Linked DNA regions of Mus musculus. Each later gene encodes a partner of the first gene's protein in a complex. Links are inferred from orthologs where the notes say so. Each region holds a gene or a part of one and is shown in the gene's direction. Other genes may lie near its edges.

The links.
Region 2: the proteins of S100a4 (region 1) and Myh9 are in contact, whole or in part, in an NMR structure (PDB 2LNK), measured with the Homo sapiens proteins. The link is inferred for Mus musculus from reciprocal best matches to the Homo sapiens genes S100A4 and MYH9. Residues at the interface, in NP_002952.1 of Homo sapiens: Leu38, Ser44, Phe45, Leu46, Gly47, Lys48, Arg49, Thr50, Asp51, Ala54, Phe55, Lys57, Leu58, Asn61, Leu62, Ser64, Gln73, Glu74, Cys76, Val77, Phe78, Ser80, Cys81, Ile82, Met84, Met85, Cys86, Glu88, Phe89, Phe90; in NP_002464.1 of Homo sapiens: Thr1906, Ala1909, Met1910, Glu1913, Val1914, Ser1915, Leu1917, Lys1918, Lys1920, Leu1921, Arg1922, Asp1925, Leu1926, Pro1927, Phe1928, Val1929, Val1930, Pro1931, Arg1932, Met1934, Ala1935.
Region 3: the proteins of S100a4 (region 1) and Anxa2 are in contact, whole or in part, in a crystal structure (PDB 5LPU), measured with the Homo sapiens proteins. The link is inferred for Mus musculus from reciprocal best matches to the Homo sapiens genes S100A4 and ANXA2. Residues at the interface, in NP_002952.1 of Homo sapiens: Lys35, Leu38, Pro43, Ser44, Phe45, Leu46, Gly47, Lys48, Arg49, Thr50, Asp51, Ala54, Phe55, Lys57, Leu58, Asn61, Leu62, Gln73, Phe78, Cys81, Ile82, Met84, Met85, Glu88, Phe89, Phe93; in NP_001002857.1 of Homo sapiens: Leu13, Glu14, Pro21, Ser22, Ala23, Tyr24, Ser26, Val27, Lys28, Tyr30, Thr31, Asn32, Phe33, Glu36, Arg37, Leu40, Thr44, Gln69, Asp70, Phe73, Arg77, Arg78.

What each region holds. Positions count from the first base shown.
Region 1 is NC_000069.6:90,602,220-90,606,807, forward strand, and holds S100a4 (protein S100-A4), read left to right. Parts: upstream 1-1,550; 5' UTR 1,551-1,587; intron 1,588-2,411; exon of another isoform or gene 2,412-2,539; intron 2,540-2,777; 5' UTR 2,778-2,792; coding exon 2,793-2,933; intron 2,934-3,520; coding exon 3,521-3,685; 3' UTR 3,686-3,826; downstream 3,827-4,588. Other genes in the region: S100a3 (protein S100-A3), read left to right, coding at 1-136. UniProt on the Homo sapiens protein: Calcium-binding protein that plays a role in various cellular processes including motility, angiogenesis, cell differentiation, apoptosis, and autophagy.
Region 2 is NC_000081.6:77,772,441-77,776,607, reverse strand, and holds part of Myh9 (myosin-9), read left to right. Parts: intron 1-673; coding exon 674-805; intron 806-1,327; coding exon 1,328-1,534; intron 1,535-1,913; coding exon 1,914-2,051; intron 2,052-2,549; coding exon 2,550-2,673; intron 2,674-3,164; coding exon 3,165-3,336; intron 3,337-4,167. UniProt on the Homo sapiens protein: Cellular myosin that appears to play a role in cytokinesis, cell shape, and specialized functions such as secretion and capping. Required for cortical actin clearance prior to oocyte exocytosis. Promotes cell motility in conjunction with S100A4.
Region 3 is NC_000075.6:69,487,816-69,491,982, forward strand, and holds the end of Anxa2 (annexin A2), read left to right. Parts: intron 1-239; coding exon 240-298; intron 299-1,836; coding exon 1,837-1,959; intron 1,960-3,630; coding exon 3,631-3,690; 3' UTR 3,691-3,970; downstream 3,971-4,167. UniProt on the Homo sapiens protein: Calcium-regulated membrane-binding protein whose affinity for calcium is greatly enhanced by anionic phospholipids. It binds two calcium ions with high affinity. May be involved in heat-stress response.

The sequences.
Region 1 (4,588 bases):
ATTCATGAGTGTTCTGGATACCAACAAAGACTGCGAAGTGGACTTTGGGGAGTACGTGCGCTCACTTGCCAGCCTCTGTCTCTACTGCCACGAGTACTTCAAAGAGTGCCCCCCTGAGCCTCCTTGCCCCCAGTAGCCTCTGATCCAAAGGTGTACGCTATCCCAGAAGGGCAGGGTCTGCTCCAGTCCTCCATCTTTGTCCTTGAGGTGGTCCTGGGTGTGTAGCCACACCCTTCCCACTCTCTCTGTGGTACCCCTTTCAATCTAGACTTGCCAAGTTCTTGATGTGCTAACCCCACCCAGCTACCCATGAGCTTTCGAGGCTTTCCTAGGGATGTCTAGCTTGTGAGGGGTGGGACAGTAGCCAGCCTTTGCCGCTTCTCTTCTTGGAAGGGAAGAACATCTCTGCTCAGCCATGTGCACACAACTGGGACCGCTGTGGCAGGGGCCTCCTCAACTCCCAATAAAGAAATGTCTTCTTGGCTTACTTTTGTTTTTTTCTGATGGGACACACTGGGCCTTGGGACCGAGTCCTTGTTCCTTTATGCTCCTTACTACTGGAGGTAGGAGGCTTACCATGGAAGGCATGGACCCCCAAAGCGGTGTCAGGCCCTGTAGAAATGCACACATTTCAGGAGGGTAGGGGTAACACGTGTCCTATCAGATGAGACTGGAGGGTCTCTGTCTCTCTCTGTCCCCTGTCTTGAGATAGAAGTCCTTATCTTGGACTTTCAAGGAGGACAAGGGGCTCCTTGGGAGGTACTTCTGACCAGATGCTGCAAGGAGAGTATGGTTGTGGGAGCCCAAAGCCAAACCTCCATCTAACCTTCACTCAATCCCCGAATTTGTACCCTATCCTTAGAGATTAATCCTGACTCCCCCTTTTACCTATTTCCTCTTTAACTCTCTTCTTCAAGCTGAACATTCAACCCCGAATGCTCCTGTCATTCCTCAATATCCTTACTCCAGCTTCCATCCATTCGAAAACCTCCAGGCCACACTGCCACCCTAACTCCATCATGGCCTCCTAGGTATAGCTCCTACTTCATACCTGGGGTGGTCCCAAGGTCCCTCCTGACTTGCTAGCCTCTATCCTGGGTCTTCCTGATTGTGACAAGAAGCTGTTTAGGCTGGAGGGAAGTGCTGACATTGTCCCACTGGCTGGGGTCACCTCCTTCGTTCCTGGGCCACATATTTCCAGGGCAGCTCCTTATCCCTTGCCCATAACATCTCCATCTCCTTTCCTGTGGCCCACACCTCATGTCCAGGTTGCCCGTTCTCAAAGCTTCCTAAACTTCTGGCTGAGCTGTGGCTGCTTGGTGGTGTCCACCCCATCCAAGTCTCTGCCGTGCCCACTGGAGCTCACTCACTACTTGATTGTGCCTGCTGGGGAGGGAGCAGGAAGCCTGGTTCCCAGACTGGGCTGGTCGAGGGTGCTATGACATTTACTACATCAACCAACAGCAAGAGCACAGTATCCATGTTCCCCCATCCTCTGCATGGGCAGGGCCTGGCAGGGTATAAATAGGTCAGATTGTTGGGCTCTCCCCAAACCTCTCTATTCAGCACTTCCTCTCTCTTGGTCTGGTGAGTTGTGTTGGTCTGATAGCACTGCTAGCGGCATTAGAGGCTGAGGCTAGGGTAGAAGAAAGGGGGGCTGCTGGGGGAACAGATGTCTTTAATAAATCCAGATGAGAGATTCTGATGTGGAGGTTCATGTATGTGTGTGTGTGTGTGTGTTTTTCACGAGAATGAAAACCAAAAAAAAAAAAAAAAAAAAAAAAAGTGTATAAATGGCTACATCTGAGCTCCCGGAGGTTTTGAGATACTGAGGCTGGCTTGCATGTTGCTATAGTGTATATTGGTGGTGCTTGGGAGTCACTGTCATGCATAGGATGCTGACTCGTGTTGCTGGGTAATACAAGACAGTGTGTGGACACTCGGGTACAGGAAGCAAAGCGAAGGCATCAGTAGGCCTTTTTGTTTTACAGTATTTAAATTACAGTTTTTATTTGTGTGTATGAGCGTATGGGTTGGGCTGGAGCAAATGCCAAGGCGACATTGTGGGAGCCAAAGGACAATTTGTGTGGGAGTCAATCTGTTCCTTCTAGCATGTGGGCTGTGGGGATCAAACTCAGGCCCTGGAGCTTGGTGGCAAGCACCTCTACCCACTGAGCTATCTCTCCAGCACCCTCCTGCAGGCATTCGTGTTTGTAGTGTGTCTTATTTTTAATAGCCCTATGAACATATAGCACCTAGGCCAAGAAAGCCTGGCTTCCCCACCCTCTCCTCTTGCATCCCTACCTCTGCCACTTCATCTTACTCCTATTAGGCAGCTGGGGTTTTTCCACTTTTTTTTGTCTGCCTCTGGGCAGGCAGCCAGCAGCCGCGCCCAACGCTGGGAGGGAGAAGAATGGGCCAGGGCCTGGTGCTTGTGGTTGAGCTGTGGGAGTGAGTAAGCTGATGGAAAACTGCTGTTGTTGAGGCCAGGACTGAGAGGCACAGAAAGGTGCTGGCATGGATCTCCAGAGTTTGAGGGGTAGGCTTTGCAGGTTTCAGAGCCCAGAGCACATGTGACCTTCTTGCCATCAATGGGTCCCATTCCTCTGATCTCCCCAGGGGGTGAGGTCCATCTCTTAGAGAGTTGGCTGGGATAGAGCACTTAAAATGGGGACAGAATGAGTGTGATTTGGGTCATGCTCAGCAACACATATCCAGTTCTCAACACACTGTTGGCGTGGGTTGGAGAATGTTACTTTTGTGTCTCCTGCCCTTAGGTCTCAACGGTTACCATGGCAAGACCCTTGGAGGAGGCCCTGGATGTAATTGTGTCCACCTTCCACAAATACTCAGGCAAAGAGGGTGACAAGTTCAAGCTGAACAAGACAGAGCTCAAGGAGCTACTGACCAGGGAGCTGCCTAGCTTCCTGGGGGTAAGTGGGTCCTGCCTGTGTATTGCACACGTGATGCATCTGCAGGAGGAGGCTGGGGCTGGTAGGCACTAGTCTTGATGCAGTACTTAGCTATAGCTGGCATATATCCCTGCTCTGGGTGCTTGGTACGGAACCACAATGAACCACCTACTTCACACTAGCCCCCAGCTGAGACAGGCTTAGGATGAAGATAACTGAAGAGGCAGAGGAAAACCAAAACAACCACATTAGGCAGTCAGTGTCTGAAACCACAGCCTAGATCAGGGCTGTCTTTCCGGAGATGGGCACTAGAAATCGAGTTTTTATTTGTGAAGACATGATCGTGGAGGCACACAAATGCCTGCAGATTATCCTCTCAATAACACCTTATATTAGTTAACGGATCACTATTATGACAGTTTCCTATTAAGATAATTAAAACAAGCACGGGGAAGATGTGGTCACATCCTTTCCCAGCTATCCCATGTGTTCATCCCATAGTTTAGCCCCGAGGCTAGCAAGGAGTGCTTGCAAACCTTCCTGAGCTCCTGACTGGAGGCAAATATCTGGTTTGAGTTGGCTTCTAATTGCTCCTCTTCTACTGCCAGAAAAGGACAGATGAAGCTGCATTCCAGAAGGTGATGAGCAACTTGGACAGCAACAGGGACAATGAAGTTGACTTCCAGGAGTACTGTGTCTTCCTGTCCTGCATTGCCATGATGTGCAATGAATTCTTTGAGGGCTGCCCAGATAAGGAGCCCCGGAAGAAGTGAAGACTCCTCAGATGAAGTGTTGGGGTGTAGTTTGCCAGTGGGGGATCTTCCCTGTTGGCTGTGAGCATAGTGCCTTACTCTGGCTTCTTCGCACATGTGCACAGTGCTGAGCAAATTCAATAAAAGGTTTTGAAACTATTAGCTGTTGTCTGAGAGACTGGAGGCTATGGGCTGAGGGCTGTGGTAGAGACTGCTGGAAGTTGACCTGGAGCTTTGTGGGGGCCAAACTAAAAAAGGTTGGGGAGGGGTGGGTGGCTTATTTTGAGTACATTGCAAGTATGTATTTGTGTGTGCGTGCTTATGCATGCGTGCATGTGTGCGTGCGTGTGTGTTTGTGTGTGTTTACGTGCTCCTATATATGCAACAGAGCAAACTCCGGGAACACTAAAGGCAGAAACCACCAGAGGCTTAGCTTGAAAGGCTCCAGATGTGTGCTGTTAGCCAGCCCACAGTTCTCCCTCCTCTCTCCAGCACTGCCTCTGGGCTCAAACTGAAGTTGGGATGGGATTAAAGGTCACATCTGCTGCTGGTTGGGGTCTGGAGAGAAGACAACAGGCCTGCCTGAGTCATGAGGAAGGAGTCTTGAAGCCAGAGAAGAATGGAGAGGTGGACTGGCACTCAGCCCTGACATTTATAGGCCAGGTCCTGGCCTGCTACCCCATCTAGCTCATTGGCTTCAAACACTGGATCAATCCTTTCCTGTCCATGAAGGGTTGGATGAAGAAGGGTAATATAGAGGGAGGTCATTCGTAGTAGCACAAGGATCTCTCTCTTTCTCTCTTTCTCTTTCTCTCTCTCTCTCTCTCTCTCTCTCTCTCTCTCTCTCTCTCTCTCTCTCTCTCTCTCTCTCACACCTTGAGCTTCTGATCCTCCTTGCCAGCCTCCTCAGCACCGGCATTATGG
Region 2 (4,167 bases), on another chromosome or scaffold:
GTCTTTAAAAGTACCCTTTGCAAGCTGCGTGTGGTGGCACATGCCTTAATCTCAGCCCTCAGGAGGCAGAGGCAGGCAGGCAGATCTCTGTCTACATAGTGAATAAGGACAGCTACATAGAGATCCTGTCTCAAAAAAATTCCTTTGCAACTTGTTCTGTCAATTTTAGTTTATAATATATAACATATGTTAAATACCAAAAAAGCATTAGAAAGACCCTAAAACTAAATCACGGGCCCTTCACTCTGAACCAATGCCATGATCTCTCTGCATTTCTCACTCGCAGTGAGTCTCAGCTATGTAAACTGTACGCACTCTTACATAGCCAAGCTTCGACTTGTGTACATAGTCTTGTATCTTGCACTTTGTATTTAGAATTCCTATCAGCGTCAGTTTTTAGGAACTGTTCCCTAGGGGCTAGATGGCTCACCCCTAAGTCTTGGGCCTATAAACAGCGCTGTCACGGGCATCTTTATGCACGCGTAGACGTGGTTTCCGTGCAGCGTAATTAAGCGAATCAGAGGCCTGTTGCATGTTGTACCAGACTGACTTCTAGGAAGGCTGTACCTGCTTGTACCCCCTCCCCAGGTAGCAGGTCGTCTCTAGAGCTTGCATTCCAGAGGTGAGGGAGCTTCTAGGGGTGGGCCAACTCTGCCTGTGTCTCCTCTCCCAGGTCAAGCCCCTGTTGAACTCAATAAGACATGAGGATGAGCTGTTAGCCAAGGAGGCGGAACTGACAAAGGTTCGAGAGAAACATCTGGCTGCAGAGAACAGGCTGACAGAGATGGAGACGATGCAGTCTCAGGTAGGTGTCAGTCTCCACCCATCAATCCCAGCTGCGCTCAGTGCTGCCCCCTGCTGGTCACCGTCAGGCCGGCTAGCTTACTGCTTAGAAAACCTTTGCAGTCAAGTCCAGTGGGAGAGCAGTTGTCAGCCGGGAGCCTGAGCCATAAGCACCCACCCTGGAGCTACTTGAGGGGTACACACCAGCTCTGTTGCTGTGACAGTGTGCCTAAGATAAGTCACTTAAAAGGGCTGAAGAGACTCAGCCTGTGGTCAGGCCCCTGCTGAGGCCGAGTGCCACGACAGAGAGTGGCGGAGCAGAGCGGCTCACTTCTTTGTGCTAAGGAAGCAGAGGGAAAGAAGGGGCCAGGACTCCAATATTCCCTGCAATGATGTGTGCCAGTGGCCTCTGCTCTACAGCTCTCAGCAGCTAACAGTGCCAGCCACTGGCAAACAAGCCTTTCGTGCCAGCCTCGGGGGACATTTCTTATCTGGACTACAAGGAGGCCGCAGGGAACTTAGCCTTTGCACGTGTTCTTTGCAGCTCATGGCAGAGAAGCTGCAGCTTCAGGAGCAGCTGCAGGCGGAGACAGAGCTGTGTGCCGAGGCTGAGGAGCTCCGGGCCCGTCTGACAGCGAAGAAGCAGGAGCTGGAGGAGATCTGCCATGACCTGGAGGCCAGGGTGGAGGAGGAGGAGGAGCGCTGCCAGTACCTGCAGGCCGAGAAGAAGAAGATGCAGCAGAACATCCAGGTACCCCTGCTCCTGCCGGGCAGGGCGGGCACAGTGTGGGCAGCCAGGGGCACAAGATAGGCACACAGGTTCAGTTACCACATCAGCCTTCTTTGTCCACCTGTTTGCGACAATCACTCAGTGTCCACGGCTCACATCTCCGTGAGCGCTACCCATTGAACGTTGAGGCCACTGAGTTTCTCTCTCTGGTCCTTCCTCCATCAGCCTTGGCACAGGCCTCTTTGTGGCACCCTGGGAACACTGTTGAGACTATGTCAGTCATGTGCCCCAGTTCACATGCTGGTTTCCTGAAGAGGGATCAGACGTGTGTGTGTGTGTGTGTGTGTGTGTGTGTGTGTGTGTGTGTCCTCCGTCCTTCTCACGTCTCCTCTCCCTTTAGGAACTTGAGGAGCAGTTGGAGGAGGAGGAGAGCGCCCGGCAGAAGCTGCAGCTTGAGAAGGTGACCACCGAGGCCAAGCTGAAGAAACTGGAGGAGGACCAGATCATCATGGAGGACCAGAACTGCAAACTGGCCAAGGTGGGGCCTGCTGTGCATGCAGTCATGGAGAGGGTGGGCAGAGCAGGGCCAAGACCTGCCTACCTGCCCGATCCCCCGCGGTGCCGTGGCTCTGTCCAGCAGCACAGTCCTCCCGGGCACACAGGCCCCTGGGCACCAGCACCATGTGCAGAGGACTTTTCTCATGAATGAGGAGGTTGCGGCAGGGGCTTGCCGTTTTTCCTTGGCAAAGGTCTTTACCAGCTTTTAGGATTGAGGAAACTCCAGATGGCAGCCTCTTAGTAGGGCCAGGGGTGGGGCTGCTTGTCCTTTCCCTAAACTAGTTGACACCTAGAAGTCTTTCCTACTTGACCCCAGGAAGTCTTGGATACCCACATTTGTTGTGTCTATGAACTTGGCCAACTCTTTAAGGCCCTGCCTTACCCTTGATCCATACATTTCTGGTTGAGTCTTCCTTTGGAAGAGCTAAAGTATGTACCTAGCCAGCACTGAACTCTGACATTCTTCCTCCACCTCCAGGAGAAGAAACTGCTGGAAGACAGAGTAGCTGAATTCACTACCAACCTCATGGAAGAGGAGGAGAAGTCCAAGAGCCTGGCCAAGCTCAAGAACAAGCACGAGGCAATGATCACCGACCTGGAAGGTGAGACGCTCTGGCCGTGAGCATCCTGTCCACGCAGAGCACTGAGCCCTGTGCACTCATAGGCGAGCCAGGCTCAGCCTAGGGCTAGGCCATTGCCTTAAGGCAAGGCTGTCAGGCTTCAGGGGCGCTATCTGGTTCTCCGGGAGTCAGGGCTGCAGGCTCACTGCTGCATGGCCGGACGGTTGCCTGTGTGAGGGGTGATAAGCATGAAGCTTTGATATGGCATGTGTTGGGCACAGCCATTTTAGAAGCTGTAGGACTTTTGACAGCAGTGAAGGGAAGAAGGAAGGAACCACAAACTCCAGGTGCTGTGTTGCCATGGGGACGCGCAGGCCTTGGTAGCTTCTGGGGTTCTGTTTCATCTCAGAATTGGAAGTGGGCGTGTGCATGGTGTCCCTTTAAACAGTCCATGTGTCCTACAAGTACATAGTGTTTGGTTTCATACAAGTAATTAAGGCTCCCTCCGTGTCCCTTCCTGCCCTTCCTGGCAGAGCGCCTCCGTAGGGAGGAGAAGCAGAGGCAGGAGTTGGAGAAGACCCGTCGCAAGCTGGAGGGAGACTCCACAGACCTCAGTGACCAGATTGCTGAGCTCCAGGCGCAGATAGCAGAGCTCAAGATGCAGCTGGCCAAGAAGGAGGAGGAGTTGCAGGCTGCCTTGGCCAGGTGAGGCTCTGCTCCTAGCCAGTGTCGCACGTGCAGTGGCTTCCCTCTCGTCTCATTTTTGGTGCTGAGCCATGAGCGTGCTCTCTTCTTCTGTGTCAGAGCCAAGAGCAAGACACTTCTGATCCACAGACAGTGTGTTCCAGAGTGTTTAATCTTCACAAAAGCCATCTACAGCCCATTCTCTGTAGTCCTCCCTCTCCTCATTTCCTGTAGTCCTTCCTTCCCTCCCCATTCTCTGTAGTCCTCCCTCCCCATTCTCTGTAGTCCTCCCTCCCTTCCCCTTTCACCCATTTCCTTTCCCACTTCCCCTCTATGGTCTCCTGTCCCCTGCTCCTTCCCTATTTTGTGGCTATAGGCATATATTAAAAGTCATTTTTTTCTCTTTAATTTTTTTTTTTTACGTTTACCTGTTGGGGGTGGGGGGTTGCCTAAGGATTATGTGCTGTGCTGCACATGTGGAGGTCAGAGGGCATTTTGCCTGAGTCCTCTTCTGCTATTTGTGGGTCCCAGAGATTGAGCTTAGCCCTCAGGCTTGGTTGCAAATCTGCTGAGCCATTTCAGTTCCCTGTGTACATTTCTTTTTAAATAGCAACTTTAGATTTACAGCAGAATTGAAAAGAAAGTCGAGATTTCTCATCCGTGCCCTGCCCCCACATGTACAGCCCCTCTCTTCCTCCACTTGCCACTACCATGATAGAGCGGTTTCTGCTGAGTTTAACAGATCTTAGTGATGTAAACTCATAGCACATCCACATTTTAACTTAGTTATAGTGATCATGACCTACATGTACTGTTTTATTTCTTTGTATCTTTTTGGTAAACATTTGAATT
Region 3 (4,167 bases), on another chromosome or scaffold:
CCAGGAAGGGCTAAGTTGGGTGGAGAAGGGAGGGCTATACTGGGCAAGCTTACATAGACACCCGGTCGTCAGTGACCTCTGCACCTCGTGGTTGAAGGTACCGCAGTGGGTAGAGCCTGCTAGTTCACAAGATTCTGAGTTCCCCTTAGCCTTCTACAGCCTTTGTCCATGGACGGGCCCATTCTGGTCAGTGTCTTAGGGCCAGGCGGGCAGCCCTGACCTCTGTCTCCTTCCCACAGTCCAGTGCATCCAGAACAAGCCCCTGTACTTCGCTGACCGGCTGTACGACTCCATGAAGGTAAGGACTGCTGGCCCAGAGGCTCCATTTCCACTAAGCTCCACCTCTGTTTTGGCTCAAACTGAATCTCTGTGACTAGTGTTTAGGGCAGTGGTTCTCAGTCTTCCAGTTGCAGCAACCCTTTAATACAGTTCCTCATGTTGTGGTGGCCCCTAACCATAGGTTATTTGGTTGCTACTTCAGAACTGGACTTTTGCTATAGTTATGAATTGCAATGTAAATATCTGAAACGCAGGATACCTGGTATGCAACCCCTAAGGGGTTGAGACCCACAGGTTGGTAAGCACTAGTTTAGAGGATGGGTTCCCACTAGCTAGCTGAGATTGTATTTGGCAGGTGAGAAAGCACCATTCCATCTTCTCTCAGTTGTTTAAATACATGCGATGCAGCTCCAGAATAAGGTGTCACTGGAGGGAAAGGGTAAGGTGACAACGGTGTCTGATTTCTGCTGGGGCTTTCAGCTATGGTGTCCCATTAGTCCCAGGATAAAAGCAAACAGGATGTGAGTGACCATCAGCAGGCACTACACAACAGCTTTTCAGTTCCCTCCCTTAAGTCCTGGCAGGAAACCCTGCAGGGCGTCCATTTTTATCTTCTTGATAAAGAAGGCAGGCAGAGCGCCTGGAGCCAAGGCCAGCTTTGCAGATGCACAGCTGGGTGATCTTCCTGCATGAGCTGCCCCGGACGAGCCTTGTTCTGGTTCTCGTCCTGCCAGGACTGGTCTGCTTTCCAGGACCCTGATTTCTTCTCTGGAGCACCCCCCCTCCGCCCCCCGTGTCCATGCTGACCCTCTGCCTGCTCTCCTTGGGCTCCCTGTTACAGATAGTTTCCTTAGTGCAGGCTATTTCATGCATTCACAAAGAGCCATAAGAACAGCGTGCCGACCCATCCTCTCTGCACCCCTAAGTGTCCACCAGCCCTTTGCTGCATATGCAAACTTGCAGGCTGGCGGTCAGAAGCAGAGCTGACTGGAGAGGCGGCTCAGCAGTTAAGAGCACACACTGCTCCTGCAGAGGCCCCCTTGGCTTCTCAGCATCTAGTTTGAATCATTCATAGGCTCCTGAAACTTCAGCTACAGGAGATCTGATGCCCTCTTCTGGCCTCCGTGTGCACCTACATGTACACCTATGGGCTCCCCCAGACACATACTTAGAAATTTTTAAATAAATCTTGAAACATTCAGATGTGCTTGGAAATCTAAGGTGCTCATCTTCATTAAGGAAACAGTCTCAGCACTGCATTTTTAAGTCTTGTAAGATCACGACCCACATGAGTGCAGGCATTAAACAAGCTGGCTGCTGTTGTCGAAATCCTGGTTTGGCTCCCAGTTCCAGGCTGGACAGCAAGCAACCATCTGGAATGCCAGCTTTAGGGGATCTGACACTCTTTTCTGGACTCCAGAGGGCTTCCCTAGACACACACACACACACACACACACACACACACACACACACGAGCCAGAAAAAACTGTGGTGGGTGCTTTTTTTAATGATAACCTTGTCAAGGAACTTAACTCTGATCATCACTTTGACTTTCAGGGCAAGGGGACTCGAGACAAGGTCCTGATTAGAATCATGGTCTCTCGCAGTGAAGTGGACATGCTGAAAATCAGATCTGAATTCAAGAGGAAATATGGCAAGTCCCTGTACTACTACATCCAGGTAAAGCCTGTGGCATGGACCTGGCTCTGCCAGGCATGGTGTGTGTGTGTATAACTATGTGGGTGTGTATATGTGTGTGTACATGTGTGTGTGCATGCATGTGCATCTGCATTGCATGTGTGCATGCATGTGTGTATGACTATGTGGGTGTGTATATGTGTATGTGCATGTGTGTGTGTGTGTGTGTGTGTGTGTGTGCATGTGTGTGTGTGTGTGTGTGCAGGTGGCTGTAGAGAACAATGGCAGAGTGGTGACCTTCCTGTTTTCTCATTTCGTAGAGAATAGACTCTGGGCACCAAGAATCAGGGATTTATATTGAAAGTAGCCTATATGATTTTCGTAGGCTCATAGGTTCAAAGCAGGTTTATACATTTCCCACAAGTGTCACTCTACAGTGGTCATAGGTGTTTATAGTGACGATCCTGCATGACCTGGTGACAATCAGAGGGACTCTGAAGGCCAAAGGCGTTTTGTATTCTATAATGCTCCTGCTTCCTGAAGATCCTCAGAGAGGCCTGACAATTTGTCTCTTGCCAACCCACCTCTTCTGTGAACTTAGTGTCTGCATTTTGGAATGCTGGAGCCTTCCTGGTGTTAACACTGTGCTCAGCTGCCAGGAGTGTTACTCTGGGGATGGAGCCTAGGCCTTGCATATGCTAAGTAAGCCCTCTACCACTGAGCTAGCAACCACAGCTTTTTAAACTTTTTTGGGTGGTGGTAGTATGTGTATTGTCTGGGTGTGGGTGTGCATGTGTGTGTGCAGGCCAGCGGTCAACCTCTGGAGTCATTCCTCAGGAACTGTCCACCTTGTTTGCTGAGACAGGATTTCTGACTGAGAGTCGGGACTCAGTGACTGAATGAGGCTGGCTGGGTGGTGAACCCCAGAGATCCTCCTGTCTCTGCTTCTCAGTGCGGGTGACATTGCACATCACCAGCCCTGGCTTCTTAAAGTGGGGAATTGAACTCAGGTCCCCATGCTTGTGTGGAAAGCGTTTTGCAGATTAAACTTTCTCCCAACCCCTCCTTCTTCTCTTTGAGAAGGGTTCTCACTAAGATGTCTGAGCTGGCCTTGAACTTGTGATTCTCCTGCCTCATCCTCCTAGTTAGCTAAGCTTATAGGTGTGCATTACCAGGCTTGGCTGCAATCCCCTTTCTAAAAGATCCTGACATTTCTATATCTATCTTGGTCTATGGTCACCAAGGACAATTGTGTGTGTGTGTGTGTGTGTGTGTGTGTGTGTGTGTGTGTTTTGGGGGGTCAGTGCAGCCATGCTTCTTAGGGCACACGATTAAAGCCAGGGACAGCTAAGCTGTTAGAAATTATTTCTCCACGTCACTAGTTATTTTCATGCATCCTTAAAGTCCACAAAACTTCAAAGGGAGGCAGCCAAGGTTCTACCCTGTCCTGTGCAGAAGGGCGCAGGTGCAGGAGAAACTCGGGCCTGCTGCAGAAGGCCCTGCAGGACCTGCAGTGTGGGAGACATTCTCCGCCCTCCCTCGCAGTCCTGACAGGGTGACGTACCATTTCCCACTGCGCTTCAGAGGGCCAGGGCTTTGGTCCACTGTGCAGGCCTGCAAGTCCCCAGGGCACACCAAGGCTATGGCGGGTTGCTGTACAATCTATTTTTTTTTTCTTCTGACACTACTTTTCTTTCTTTCTGGCCACTGCAGCAAGACACCAAGGGTGACTACCAGAAGGCACTGCTGTACCTGTGTGGTGGGGATGACTGAAGGGCTCAGCACAGTGGATCACCCAGAAGTGGCTCTACCTGTGCCCCAACCTGGCGTTCTAGAGACTTCGCTCTCCACTAATGGACCCCTGAGCTCCTCCCTGTGAGGATGATGACAGGGCTGCCGACCCTTTCCCCATCTTAGCTGCCCTTGCCTGGCTTTCTCCTCATTCTCTCCTTTATGCCAAAGAAGTGAACATTCCAGGGAGTGGGGCGTAGCGTCTGTGACATGAGACACTTCCTCTTATGTACTGTGTCGTGAATAAACCGTTTTTACTTTAGAAACAAGAATGCCGTTGCCTTTGCTTTCAAGCCACTGTTCAGAAAGCAGACATACTTGGGATTTGATTGTTCGCCCAGGGAGGTTGCCCCTAGAGGATGAAAGTTCTAGAACTTATCTCTTCCCTCTGGTAGCCACTATACAGATGCACTTTTTTAAAAGGATGAGTGAATTTAAAATTATATACAGTTCAAATTT